2 linked regions of the Caenorhabditis elegans genome follow. The protein of the gene in region 2 purifies or fractionates together with the protein of the main gene of each other region. This does not show direct contact. Each region holds a gene or a part of one and is shown on either strand. Other genes may lie near its edges.

Evidence for each region.
Region 1: the proteins of drh-3 (region 2) and mlc-2 purify together in Caenorhabditis elegans (affinity purification with mass spectrometry, with the first as the bait; one study listed by BioGRID). This does not show direct contact.

What each region holds. Positions count from the first base shown.
Region 1 is NC_003284.9:17,454,602-17,459,168, reverse strand, and holds mlc-2 (Myosin regulatory light chain 2), read left to right. Parts: upstream 1-2,582; 5' UTR 2,583-2,601; coding exon 2,602-2,739; intron 2,740-2,786; coding exon 2,787-2,919; intron 2,920-2,973; coding exon 2,974-3,122; intron 3,123-3,175; coding exon 3,176-3,268; 3' UTR 3,269-3,377; downstream 3,378-4,567. Other genes in the region: C36E6.2 (Nbr1 FW domain-containing protein), read right to left, coding at 3,734-3,921.
Region 2 is NC_003279.8:7,818,242-7,827,469, forward strand, and holds drh-3 (Helicase ATP-binding domain-containing protein), read left to right. Parts: upstream 1-2,589; 5' UTR 2,590-2,601; coding exon 2,602-2,699; intron 2,700-2,758; coding exon 2,759-2,932; intron 2,933-3,185; coding exon 3,186-3,261; intron 3,262-3,308; coding exon 3,309-3,390; intron 3,391-3,435; coding exon 3,436-3,960; intron 3,961-4,147; coding exon 4,148-4,273; intron 4,274-4,319; coding exon 4,320-4,501; intron 4,502-4,582; coding exon 4,583-4,764; intron 4,765-4,961; coding exon 4,962-5,287; intron 5,288-5,723; coding exon 5,724-6,004; intron 6,005-6,047; coding exon 6,048-6,956; intron 6,957-7,395; coding exon 7,396-7,496; intron 7,497-7,552; coding exon 7,553-7,691; intron 7,692-7,738; coding exon 7,739-7,845; intron 7,846-7,947; coding exon 7,948-7,999; 3' UTR 8,000-8,137; downstream 8,138-9,228. Other genes in the region: D2005.4 (TPR_REGION domain-containing protein), read left to right, coding at 1-41, 89-180, 231-899, 959-964; D2005.7 (NAM-associated domain-containing protein), read left to right, coding at 1,338-1,527, 1,578-1,790, 1,932-1,996; glna-3 (Putative glutaminase 3), read right to left, coding at 8,250-8,612, 9,035-9,228.

The DNA.
Region 1 (4,567 bases), on a different chromosome or scaffold from region 2:
GCCTTTTACACTCGTTGGGCCCCGCGTCGAGGGGAGGGCTGTTTGAGCAAATCTCAACAACTTTACACAAGAGGCGCACCGCCCCCGTGGTGCTAACATCAGGCACCCGTCGGAGGTTTCCAAGAAGATGGGCAAAACTCTCGCCTTGCTTGCGTCGCGATGCCTCTTACCCGCCATCGAAAAAGTTGCTCGATCGGATAAATGAGGGGATGCAATAAGGGAAAGGGAATAGATCATCCGAGCTTTAAATCTGAGCAGGGCACAACATAATCAGAATTTGTTTTGAGTTGGAAAGGAAGGTTTAAATTCAACATTTCCAACAAACAGGATAATTGAAAACTTGAAAATCTGAAACTCTTTTGTTTTGGAACTTGATTATAAATTTTAATTTTCATAACATGACTAAATGGGACATACTGAATTTATCAGATGGTTCCAGTAATATCTGTTTATAATATTTCACTAACGATAATTTTTTTTGACATATATTTTTCTGGTATAAATTATAATTTTCCTACTAATTGTTTCAACTACTTGTGAAATCTATTTGTATAGTTTTTTTTCAAGTTTTGTTAAAATGAAATAATTAATCGGGCGTATTTTAAGATAGGATGAAACAGAGCAAATATTGATTTTCACACAATCTTCAAAGTTTTGACATACGCAGTGATTTTTGATTTTAGGATTTGCAGCTATTTTTGAAATCAATAATTTTGATGTCATTGAATAACAGACAAAAATTGTGTTTCGAACTATACTCTCATTGGAGACAATTCAGAAACGATTCAGAAAAAAAAACCTTCCATCAGAATTAGTGTGACAAGAGGTTCTTACTCATATCCTAAATTAACAAGGATAACTTTTTTGATTCCTCAACTTTCAAACTTTTTCATCTGATTTTCTATTGAGTGTTCTGTCTACCAGTGCTCTTATCTGAAAACAGCTTTTAAGATAATGCGTCAGCTGGCAGAAACGCTTTTAATTTTGCTTCCTGTTTGTTAACTTATTTTTGAAACGTTTTACTTCGAAAAGAGTTAATTTTTTGGTTTGTTTGTAAATTTGAAAAAATCATTTAATGTTTATTATGAGCGTATTACAAATGTTCGTAAAAGTTATTATTATTATCACTCCACAATTTCCGTTTGTAAAATGAATAATTGAATTTTTTTTTCCAATATACATCAAACAAAATTGTGAAAAAATTGCTTTAACGAAATTGAAGCATAAACAATAGTTCTAATTCCAATTACAACAATTTGTGTAAATCAAATGTTTCCTCTGAAAACTTCAAACAGTAAACCATTAATGTTTTGAAAAGTACGATGATGGTCTGGAAAACGCGCTTTGAAAATTTGTTACAACACGTTAGAATCACAAGTTCAGATTAGCTGTCGCCTCTAAAAATCAATTGTTGAACAATGTCTTCTTCAATTTTTTGATAATCAGCAAGCACAACTACTAGAAACAAAATATACAATTTTAAAGTTGGCAAAGAAACATTGGATACAATTTTCCAGTCGCTTGGCATTTTTGTTGAACATAATTTCAATTTTTCGAAAAATTTATGTTTTGTAATGTTTTATTTTGATTTCCATACTTATGAAGTAGTAAAGATTTCTACTGGGCTCATGAGATACAAAACAATCTGAACATTCAATTTTTTATCTTCGGAAAAGTTCTTGCTAGAAAAACAATAAAAACCACTTATAAACATTCCTTTCAATTGTTCTCTTTTTACGAACTTGTTAATTTGTCTTCAGCCATTAGAAACAATATTCGATGTTACATGTTTTCATTCAACATTCAAAGTTATATTCTTTCTAATTCCTATTTTGTGTTAATGGGCCACCCTCAGTGCAACTCTGATCATTCATCTCCCAAAAATCCCTAGATTCCCTGCTCTCCACCCTCGCTTTTCTGCGCGCAGCAAAAAGCCTACCACCTTAACTTTTACCTGCTTTTGAGAGAGATGTACTTGAGAAAATATTCGAAGCCAAACAGTTGGCTTTTCCAAAAATTCTCTCCCCCATGCGTTGCCGCAACTCTGTAGATATTTGCGTTTGTCGTTTCTTCACAAACAGATATTGCGTATATCTTCCCGGCCGTGTGAGGGTGATCAGAAAGTCTGAGATCCCCAAAGAGAGCACAGACACGGCGCACGGATCACGGGCACTGCTCTTTCTAGCGCTCTTTGTGTCGAGCTTCTGCTTGGGACACATTATCTCTGCTGGCAAAACTGATCGCTGCCCGCTGTGTTACACTCTATCTCAAACGGCATCCCGGGAATCTGCCACCCTCCACCAATTGCCTACTAACTTTGCCCGCCGTGGAGAGAGCACCTCCTCTCGGTCTCTTTTCGTATCACATTCCTCCCATCCAGCTACTCCTCCTTCCCATACGCCTACCAACCAACCATTATTATCTCAATGCTCTCGACAAGATCGGGACTTGGAAAAGGCTTCTTCTTCATACTTTTCATGGGTGCATTTTTAATTTTAATTTGTTCGTTTCCCAAGCAATTTACTTCTATCATTGTTTCGACAATTTTGTGTGCTACCTGTAAACAAATAACTGAGTTTCAGGTAGAGAACCTTTTCCAACATGTCCAAGGCCGCCAAGAAGAAGTCCTCAAAGAAGCGCTCGGGATCCGAGGCCGCCCAATTCGACCAGAAGACCATCCAGGAGTTCAAGGAGGCCTTCGGAATCATGGATCAGAACAAGGACGGAATCATCGACAAGGTTAGCTTTTTTTAAGTTTTAAAATGATACTAATGAACAATTTTTAGTCTGACCTCAAGGATCTCTACGCATCCATGGGACAAATCGCCCCAGACAGCCAGATCGACGCCATGATCAAGGAGGCATCCGGACCAATCAACTTCACCGTCTTCCTCACCCTTTTCGGGGAGAGATTGACAGGTAGGCTTTTCAGATTTTCTAATGGAATTCAATTCATTATTGCAATAATTTCAGGAACTGACCCAGAGGCCACCATTGTTGGAGCTTTTGCTATGTTCGATAAGAAGGACTGCGGAAAGATCAAGGAGGACGACCTTATCAAGATCCTTCAAAACAAGAGAGGAGAGCCATTAGACGAGGATGAGGTCAAGGCTATGTACAAGGTAAATTCATTCTTTCTGAAATCATTGAAACTTACCAATTCCTCTTCTTTCAGGGAAAGCCACCAATCGAGGGAGGAGAGGTTGACTACAAGGCATTCGCTCACCTCATCACCACCGGAGCCCAAGACGAGCTCGCCAGCGCCTAAACATCCGGCAATTGCACACAAATCTTACATTCTTTCAAATAATACTTTCTCATTTATTTCTCCAATTATAATCTTTCAATGGATTAGTGCAATAAATGGTGGTGATAAAATTAGTTGATACCAATGACTTCTAATGTTATTTTATAAAAAGGCTAATAGGTATTGGGGAAAAAAGTGATGAATAGTTTGAAAAAGAAATGCGAGAGGTGGAAAAGGCAACAAATCTGTACTGGGTGTCTATCACAATTGGAACAAATCTTAATGAGAAAATATGTTTCAATAAGGTTCATTACAGAGTTACCAGATGTCTGATAACCCGAGCTACGTTGAATTTTAAAAGTAAAATAGTTAGAAGATTACTTTTGATTCAATAACTGCATTGAAATTTACATTTGATTAAGATATCCCACGGTAAATAATTGATGATCATCACAATAATAACAATAGAATTTACAAGGTCTCGAATCATTCCATCATGTCCTCTTGAGGTGGATCAGGCACTGGAGATGGATGTGTCCCACTGCTACTTGGTCCTTCCACAAATGACATCACAGCGAGTTGCCGATGGAATGGATCCATTGGTTGCGCGGAGACTTCCATCGCGGCTTCTGCTTCAGTAAGTGGCCGCACTCGAATGATAACCCAGATTGATTCTGAAAATGTGGAAACATTAAAATTATGAGGTTTCTGAAGTAGCTGAATAATATTTAAGTCTTTGAAGAAATTCGATTAGTTTCAAAAAAATTATCTTTGCTGATTTGTACAAGCCGTTTTGAACCTGAGTTTATATTTACGTTTTAAGGTTTATTTTAAATTTATTTTCTATATTTCACTGATTTTCTTCATTTTTGTGGTTTTTTAATCGGAAAATAAAAGAAATATACAAGAAAAATGCAAATAGTTCATGAAAAAATCACTGAAATTGCCTAAAACTCTGAAATTATGTGATACGACGACAACGAGCCTGAAATTAGTATATTTTACAGTTTTAGGCAATTTCAGTGATTTTTTCATGAACTATTTGCATTTTTCTTGTATATTTCTTTCATTTTCCGATTAAAAAACCCCAAAAATGAAGAAAATCAGTGAAATAATGAAAATTAATAAAAAAAGATAATGAAAATAATGCAATCGTGCTCCAACGAACGAGTTCAATTGGCGGAAATTCAAATAGAAATTAGGGGAAAACTGACATTTTTTCAATTTTCAAAAAATCATATAAAATCAGGGAAATTTTTTTAAATTTTTTTATCATGATATTCGGCCATTGTGGTACCATAGGCATGTTTTGAAGCGATT
Region 2 (9,228 bases):
AAACTACTGTAATCTCGATGTCATCGAGAAAACGGTTTCAGGTGAATCTTGATTTTTCTTTATTAGTGAGTTTTTTATTTGTATTCAGATCACATTCCACAAGAAGTAGTTCGTACACAGCTCTATGAAGCAATGAAAAAGTACGCCGCCGAGATGCCGATAGATGAGAATTGGAAGAAGGTTTGGGATCGAATATGACTTTATAGAAAAAACCTCATTCGAAATTTCAGAATCTCCTCAGACATTTCACAATTAAGATCAAATTTTTGACATCACACAAAAAAATTGATAAGGAAGAGCTGAAGGAAGACACAAAGCAGTCAAAAGAAGATAGCAAGGTACCTGAGAAGAGCCCAGAAGTACTTCCTGGAGACGCGGAAAAGTGTGAAGAATCGGAAGAAGTAACCACAAAAGCGTCTTCCGATGCAAAAGAAGGAGTGATCGCAGTAGATGCAGTGGCTGCTGAACCGGATATCGTTCAAGAAAATGCGACTAGCACAGATGATGCAAATAATGAAGACCAGGAGAAAGCTTCACAGGTCGTTGCCAGCTCTGTAATCTCTGAAGAAGTGTTGAAAGAAGAATCAACCGGAGACTGTGTAAAAACTTCGAAAGATCATATGGATTCAGAAACTGCTGGTAATTGTTCCGATTCTGTGATCAACGATGAGCCGGTGGAGGCTGAAGACCCCGACAATGTGAAAGTTGAACGGAAAGAAGAGGACGAGTCAATTGACGGAGTATCATGCGATAACGAGAAAATCCCACTGAAACCCTTAGCACAATGTGGCAAGAACTGTTTGTACGGCTTCTACCCGGACGATAAGTGGGCTCTTTTGAATGAGCCAGTAATCAATGAAATTTATCGGCTACGCGAAAAACACGGCTACTCGAACAAGGTAATTTATTTTTTTAGAAATGCCGTTAAATAATTCCAATAACTGAGTTTATTTTCCAGATGTAATCTTCGTGCAATACTTGTAACATATCACAAATGCATTCATCATCGTGATGAGTTCAACAGTTTTATTCAAAAATTTTGAAAATGCTCAAGTGACGAACTTTTTTTCTTTTTTTTTTTGTTAAGATTATTTCATTTCCCTTTAAAATTTTCTCTATAGAGCTATAGTATCGTTGTTCGTGTTTTCTAATAAACGCTTTAAAGTTTTGTTCTATAGGTTTTTATTGTTATCCAATATTGGTTTTAACCAGAAATATGCACTACATGTTATGACACTTTTCATATTAGTATTACTTTTTATTGTTTAACACGTTAACTTTACCGAGGTTTTGCAGCCCTACCCGTGTCCTATTTTATGCTGATATTCATCTTCCAGATGGGCAACAAAAAAAATAAATCAAGTGGGTCCCGAAAGAATCATTCTCAGCATTATTCTCAGCCAACAATGACCGTAGAGGAGTGCTTGAAGGAGTACGAGAACACAGGAAATTTCGCCAAGTTCTACCCGAATTACATTTTCCAACGGTTGCCAAAAGAGTTCCTCCAAAAATACTTAGCCTCTAAAAGTTCGTTTTACAAGAAAAGTTGACAAGTTTAACAACCTTCGCAATTTCAGAAAATAAAAATATTTCTAAAAATCCATCACTAAGTTGTTCAAACTCTACATTGGACAATATGAAAGAGACGTCGAAAAGTATCTATGTGGACGTGGATCCAGATGATCCTCTCTCCGATGAAGCATTCACTGCTCAACATCCTGTGGAAGAATGGTTTCGACTTCCTCTCGAATGGCGCATTGAGATCGAAAGGCAGCGTTTTGTGAAAAAAGGTATTTTATTCATGGCTAGAAAATTAATCCTACAAAAAACCGCTTAAAACTCGATTTTTGAGTAAAGAAAGAATTTAACAATTTTTCATATGGATAATTTATTAAATATCGAAAAAAAGCATTTCTCTTATTTTCTTTCAGAACGCGCCGACCGTGCTGCTGAAGCTGCCAGGAACTCCGCTGAACTTCTAAAGCCAGACGCTTAAAAGTGCATCAACGATTCGTTTTAACGTTGTAAAATGTTATTTTCGATGTTTTCTTTTCATCCAGTTATTCGTATTAATTTGCCATTCATCAGCTGAAATTCATCCCAACAACCTGCCGAAAGAATTTTATTTTCTGTTCTATCTTTCAAATTTCCTTTTCTTTTCTTCATTTTCTGTTGGCAGCTGCTCGTATTTCCATCACCGGTTCCCGTGAATTTGCAGTTTTAATGAAAGTTTTATTCTTGTTTTAAATATTATGATTTTATTTTCTCACAAGGTTGAAGAGCCAAAACATTTATTTATGTTGTAGAATTTAAATACTAATTTTATTGATTCCGCCGTTGCTCATCGTTAAATATTGAATACTGAAACCAAAACTTCCCTTCCTGACACTACTTGCCCTTCTTTAACACTAATAATGGTTTTCTGTTCATTCATGTATTTCCCTCTTAACTTTTTATCATTGGCAAGAGGAAGAGAAAATCATTAATGTGAAAACCTCTGCCACACTTGTTTATATTTTGTGCGCCAGTTTGAACAACATGTCTTTTTGTCGTTTTGTCGGCAAAATTTAATTTAATAATTTCCTACAGATATTTTCGATAATGCAACCAACTGCAATACGTTTAGAAGATTACGACAAATCGAAGCTTCGCCTTCCGTTTGAGTCTCCATATTTTCCAGCGTATTTTCGTCTTCTCAAGTAAGAAAATTATACATTTCCCCCCTTGCACTCGATCAAATAATTAAATATTATTTTAGATGGAAATTCCTTGATGTATGCGTGGAGAGTACACGAAACAACGATATCGGATATTTCAAACTATTTGAATCGCTGTTCCCGCCAGGAAAATTGGAAGAAATTGCCAGAATGATCATTGACGAGCCAACTCCAGTTTCTCATGACCCGGACATGATTAAAATCAGAAATGCCGAGTAAGACGACAGAGAAATCATGTATTAGAAAAACGTTCCAACGAAAACAATTTCTTCGGTGTTATCTATATCTGTGACGGCAAGGATGTCGAAACGGAGTTTTGAAAACATAAAATTGTTTTAATGACTTAAATTTTTATAAAAAGTTTAAATATCGTGAGTTTTCGAGTCACAGAAGCTTAAAAGGTCAAAAAAAAGTATTATGGTGTCTGGAATTTTCGTGCCATATTTTTTTTAAATACCAATTTTTCAGTCTCGACGTTAAAATCAGAAAACAGGCAGAAACATACGTTACATTGCGTCACGCACATCAGCAGAAAGTTCAAAGGGTAAAAACACTTTTGAAAAACATTTAATAAAATAATTTTTATTTCAGAGAAGATTCTCGGAATGTTTTTTGAACACTGTTTTGTTCGATGAGAAGGGACTCAGAATTGCTGACGAAGTGATGTTTAACTGTAAGTAATCGTGAAATTTCAAACGTTTTGAACTGTAAAATTCAGACGATAAAGAACTTTATGGATACTCACACTGGGAAGATCTTCCTGATGGCTGGTTAACTGCTGAGACTTTCAAAAATAAATTCTACGATGAAGAGGAAGTTACCAATAATCCATTTGGATATCAGAAGCTTGATAGAGTGGCTGGAGCTGCACGTGGAATGATTATTATGAAGCATCTGAAATCGAATCCACGTTGTGTTAGTGAAACTACAATTCTCGCTTTTGAAGTATTTAACAAAGGTAATCATCAACTATCAACTGATTTGGTCGAAGATTTGCTAACCGAAGGACCAGCGTTCGAGCTGAAAATCGAGAATGGAGAAGAGAAAAAATATGCTGTGAAGAAATGGAGTCTTCATAAGACTCTCACCATGTTTCTCGCAATCATCGGATTCAAATCGAATGACAAAAAAGAGAAAAATGAACACGAAGAGTGGTATTACGGATTTATTGATGCAATGAAGAATGATCCAGCTAATCGAGCGGCTCTCTACTTTTTGGATAAGAACTGGCCAGAAGAGCTTGGTAAGTTTTTTTTTGTTTGGAAATTAAATAGCGGCAAACATTTTGTACTTCAGATTTCAAAATACTGAAATTATTTTAATACAATTTTAAATAATGCCTAACTTTTTATTATTCGGCCATCTCATGCTATTTGATGTATTTTACGAATTTCGATTTACAATCTAGGCTTAACTAAATCAATTTTCAGAAGAACGAGAGAAAGAACGTGACCGTATCCGCCTTACCCTACTGAAAAGTCAGCGGACTAACGAGGAAGCTGTCGGCGAGGATGTTTGCACGACAATACGTCCACAACCGAAAGACAGCGGCTACAGTAAGATTATATTTCCAACATTTAGTGCAAATTTTCCTTTTTCCAGATCCAGATGCGGTGGTTACTGAACTTGTATTGCGTACTTATCAAGAAGAACTTGTCCAACCGGCTCTCGAAGGAAAGAATTGTGTTATTGTTGCTCCGACTGGTTCTGGTAAAACAGAAGTGGCAATTTATGCGGCTCTCAAACATATTGAAGAACGAACATCCCAAGGAAAGCCTTCCAGAGTATGTTTTTTTTTTAATTTTCTCGTCAAGTTCTAATATTATTTCCCCTTGATATAGAAGCAATAAAATTTTATTTTCCAGGTTGTGCTCCTTGTGCCGAAAATCCCGCTTGTCGGTCAACAAAAAGACAGATTCCTGAAGTATTGTAACGGAATGTACGAAGTTAATGGTTTTCATGGATCCGAGAGCAGTGTCAGTGGAACAGGACGTCGTGATGAAGTAATTGCTACTCATGTATCAGTTATGACTCCTCAAATTCTGATGTGAGTTAATGGAATCAGGTTCATTAAATTCTGAATCGAAAATTTCTGATATAACTCATTAATTTTTTATTTTACTTTTTTTTTTCAAAAAAAATTATAAATTATAAAAAGAGTGCAATTTTAATCAAGATATATAAAATGTTTAATTTTTTCGGATCGAGCTCTGGTTTTTATAATACCCGAACTAATTATTTCAGCAACATGCTTCAATCGGTACGTCAAAATGAGCGTTTGTATGTGAGTGATTTCTCAATGATGATCTTCGATGAAGTACATAAAGCTGCAAAAAATCATCCATATGTGTTGATTAATCAAATGGTTCAAGAATGGAAGTATGAAAAACCACAAATCATTGGTCTGACAGCTTCATTGAGTGTCAAAGTTGATGGACAAAAAGACGAGAATCAGATGCTTAATGATATTTATAATATGCTCGCATTGATCAACGCTCCACATTTGAGTACAATCACTCGCCAATCGAGCATAGATGAGCTCAATGAGCATGTTGGAAAACCAGATGATTGTAAGTTTGTTCTCAAGTTGGAAATTTAGTTTTTTTTTTCTTAAAAACCATAAATAAATTTTAAAATACAAATAAGATAAATTTCTAGGTGTATCAAATTATAAAAATATTTATTTTCAAGTTTACACAGTTCAAAAAAATTTGAAAATTGTAAATTGTTCTTGTAAAATGAAAAATGGTTTCTAAATGAAGTGTTGTAAACAGGAATTGAAAAAAAAAACCTTCGGAAGCTGAAAACCCACTTTAGAATCAAAACCACGGTATTGAAATTTCCTTTGTTTTCCCTTATTTCTCATGGTATTGTTTAACTTCAAGCTAATCCGGCAATTTCAAAGTAAATTCCTCATTTACTCTATTCCAAAAATAACCAATTACTTGTTTTCTCTTCGGAATATGAAATTTCATGAGAGAATTATTTCAAAAAAATTCTTCTCAGCTGTCGAACTATGCTTGCCTGCCAAAGAAAATATCCTTCGAGATTACATCGAACGATACCTTAACCACGCCCATGGCAAATTTCTCGAAGAATTAGCAAGCATGTCTAAATCAACTGGCCGCAACAACACTATCCCACCGAATATGATTAACACGTTTAAAAAGAATCAACCGAAGAATTATGAGTACTACGATTCATTACTTCAAGGTATTATTCAAGAGTTGAACAAATTGAATGTTCCTGAGAAATGGAATTCTCAAACTTGGGCGAAATACATGAAGGTTTGATTCATTTTCAAAGATTCTTGTAAATGAAATGATTTAGGTATATCTCGAAGCTCGCGGAATCGTTGATCTGATGCCTGCGATGGTTGCATTCAAATACATGGAAAAAGCTATTGGGAAATTGAATGAAAGTCATTCAGAGACAGTCGAATACAGCACCTTCATCAAAGACCATGATACTTTGAAACAAACAATTCAATCCGTTGAACCAGAAATTGTTCTACGTCTCAAGAATACACTCACCAATCAGTTCCACGTGGCTCCTGAATCTCGAGTTATTATTTTCGTAACACAAAGAAGCACCGCTCAACGTGTCAGTGATTTCTTGAACGAATCTAAAGTTTTAGATCAATTTGGTAATTATGGTGAACAAATGGTTGGATATGTTCTCGGAACAAACAAACAGGGCGCTGTACAGCAGACTTCACAAGAACAACAATTGACACTTGATAAATTCAACAATGGAAGACTTAAAGTAATTGTGGCAACGTCAGTTGTTGAAGAAGGTCTCGATGTTACTGCATGTAATCTTATTATCAAGTACAACTGTTCATCAGGATCAGCCATTCAACTTGTTCAACAAAGAGGTCGTGCACGTGCCAAAAACTCTCGTTCTGTGCTTTTATCAGTGAAGAGTAGTATCAATGAAACCGAGACTAACGCGTTAATCTCTGAAAAGTATATGAGACTTTGTGTGAAGAAGATCACAGAGAATGGCGAGAAACAATTGGCTGCAGAAGTGAAACGAGTCGCTGAACTAAATGCGGCTGAAAGGAAACGAAATCTGGAAGAGCAACTCAATTTGAGATTACGACATGAGAATAAGATTTATAAATTGATGTGCAGCAATTGTTCAAAAGAGTTCTGCAAGAGTATTTATATCAAAAAAGTGTTCTCGAATTACATGGTGTTCGATCCAAGTGTATGGAGATTTTTGCATGTTGAATCGGTACGTTTGATGAATGCTCAAAAACCGGAGCCGGCTTGTCGAAAATATAATTTTAATGAATTTTGTAAGATTATACTCGTAGACCAGGGCTGTAAAACCATTTTCCCAAAAAACCGAAACCTAAAATTTCTCAAAAAAAAAGACAATTAAAAAAATTTCTGTCACTAAAAAATCGTTTTAAAGTAAAAAAATCGCTTTATTCATCTGAAATTAACTTATTCAGGTTGAAACATTTATAAAGTGCTTAAAAATTACCTGGAAGTGTCGAATTGCCGATTATCAAATTGCTGAATTTCCGAACTTTGCTTTCCGACAATTGACTTTCAGGCTATTTTTGTGCAATTTCCAGATGTTTCAAGTAAATGTTTTTTTCAGCTAAGCCGACTTCTGTTTATCATAGAAACGCAATTTGTGATTGTGAAAAATTGAATTTTTTCAGAAGCGAAAGGTGAGTAAGTACTTGAGTGAGGACAATCAACCACTCAGTGATATCAAATGCTTCCATTGCAAGTTGGATGTTGGAAGAGCTTACAAAATAAGGTAATTGAAATTTAATTTATTTAAAAGTCGTTTCTTATAAAACAACATTTCTACAGAGGAACCTATTTGCCGCAACTCAGTGTCAAGGCGTTGACATTTGTTCAAGAATCAGACTATTCCTCGATGACAAAAGCAAAATGGTCGGATGTGGAACAGGATCTGTTTTATATTTCAGAAGCAATCGAGGATGACTTTGTAAGATTTTGGTCACTTGATTATTTAAAAATTGTACGAATTTACAGAGAATCATGTTGAATGCGCTCTCCGATACTGAAGAAAATATCGAAAAGAAGATTGTTCTTGATTTGGACTCACGACAACACAATAAGCAACTCGAGATGAAGAGATTGTAAGTGTGCTCTGGATTGTGATTCCTTTTCTGTTTAACACTTTCGAAGCTCAAAAAATACGGATAAACTCTCTATTATCATAATAATGCTTTCATTTTCAGCCATATTCAACAAGAACCACCAACGAAGGGAGTTGCACCAGAAGCTCAATGATCATCTCAAGGATTTCCAACTTGTACGAGAATTCAATTTTTCTTAATCTTTTTTGTTATTTTAATATCATTCATCGTGTTCTATTTACCGAGCAATTTTCATTCGATCTCTTGAATAATATAAAGCTCTATTTAGTTTTATTTTTTTAATTGATCTTTCAATTTTTCTTCCAACAATTTGACTGTAAATTAACAAATGACAAAAAATGGAATGATTTATTAATTTAAATCAATTTCTAGAACATCTATTCCTAATCATCTTGTCCTTTAAGATTGTAAACCGTAATTGCCTCTTCTAGCAGCTTAACACAAGCAGTATGATTAAAATGTTTAGCATCATCCAATGGAGTTCTATCATATCTATCACATGGATTCGGATCCTCTTGCCATTTACTCAATACGTATTCCAATGTGACAACGTCTCCTTCAGCAGCAGCCACGTGTAAAACTGTTCGATCATCATAATCTTTGCAATGAATATCATGTCCCATCAAAAGGAATCGTTTAATTGCAGCAATATCACCCAATTTTGTAGCATACATGAAACGATTCTGACCGTCATGATCATCTTTCAATTGACGACGAGGATCGATTTTCTTATTATCCGAGTAGATCTGAATTGGGATTATTATGGTTTAAGTAGAAAATGCTAATTTTTAACCAAATATATTATTCGGGATGCAGAGAAAAGTTCGTTTGGTAATCTACGTGGAAAGGCGATCCACGGACAATTGAAAACATTCCGCCCCCGAGCAATGGGTCTCGTTAGGAATTTGGCGGAATAAAAAAATAAAAATTCTACAACAAATTAAAAAATTTGACAAAATCGGCAAAACTAAATAAATGTTGCATACGGTTTTGCCGCCAAATACCTAACGAGACCCATGGTTCGGGGGCGGAGCATTTTCATTTTGCCATGGAGCGCGTTTCCAGGTCGATTTCTAAAGGAGATTCTCTCTGCGCCCCCACCATAAGATATTTCGAAAGAAAACTCAAATAAATTAACTTTAGAATTTTCTATTTTGAGATAACTTACCAGACTATCATAATTATGGAAGTTATACTTTTGTACGAGCTGTTCTGCAAACTTGACACCTCGAACCGTGTTTCCAAGTTTATCAAGTCGTGGACTGTACAAGGCAATACCCATCACATTCGGAATCACAATAATCATATCTCCAGATACTCCTGATTTGGCTGGAAGACCTACGTGGAAAGCGAACTGCCCCG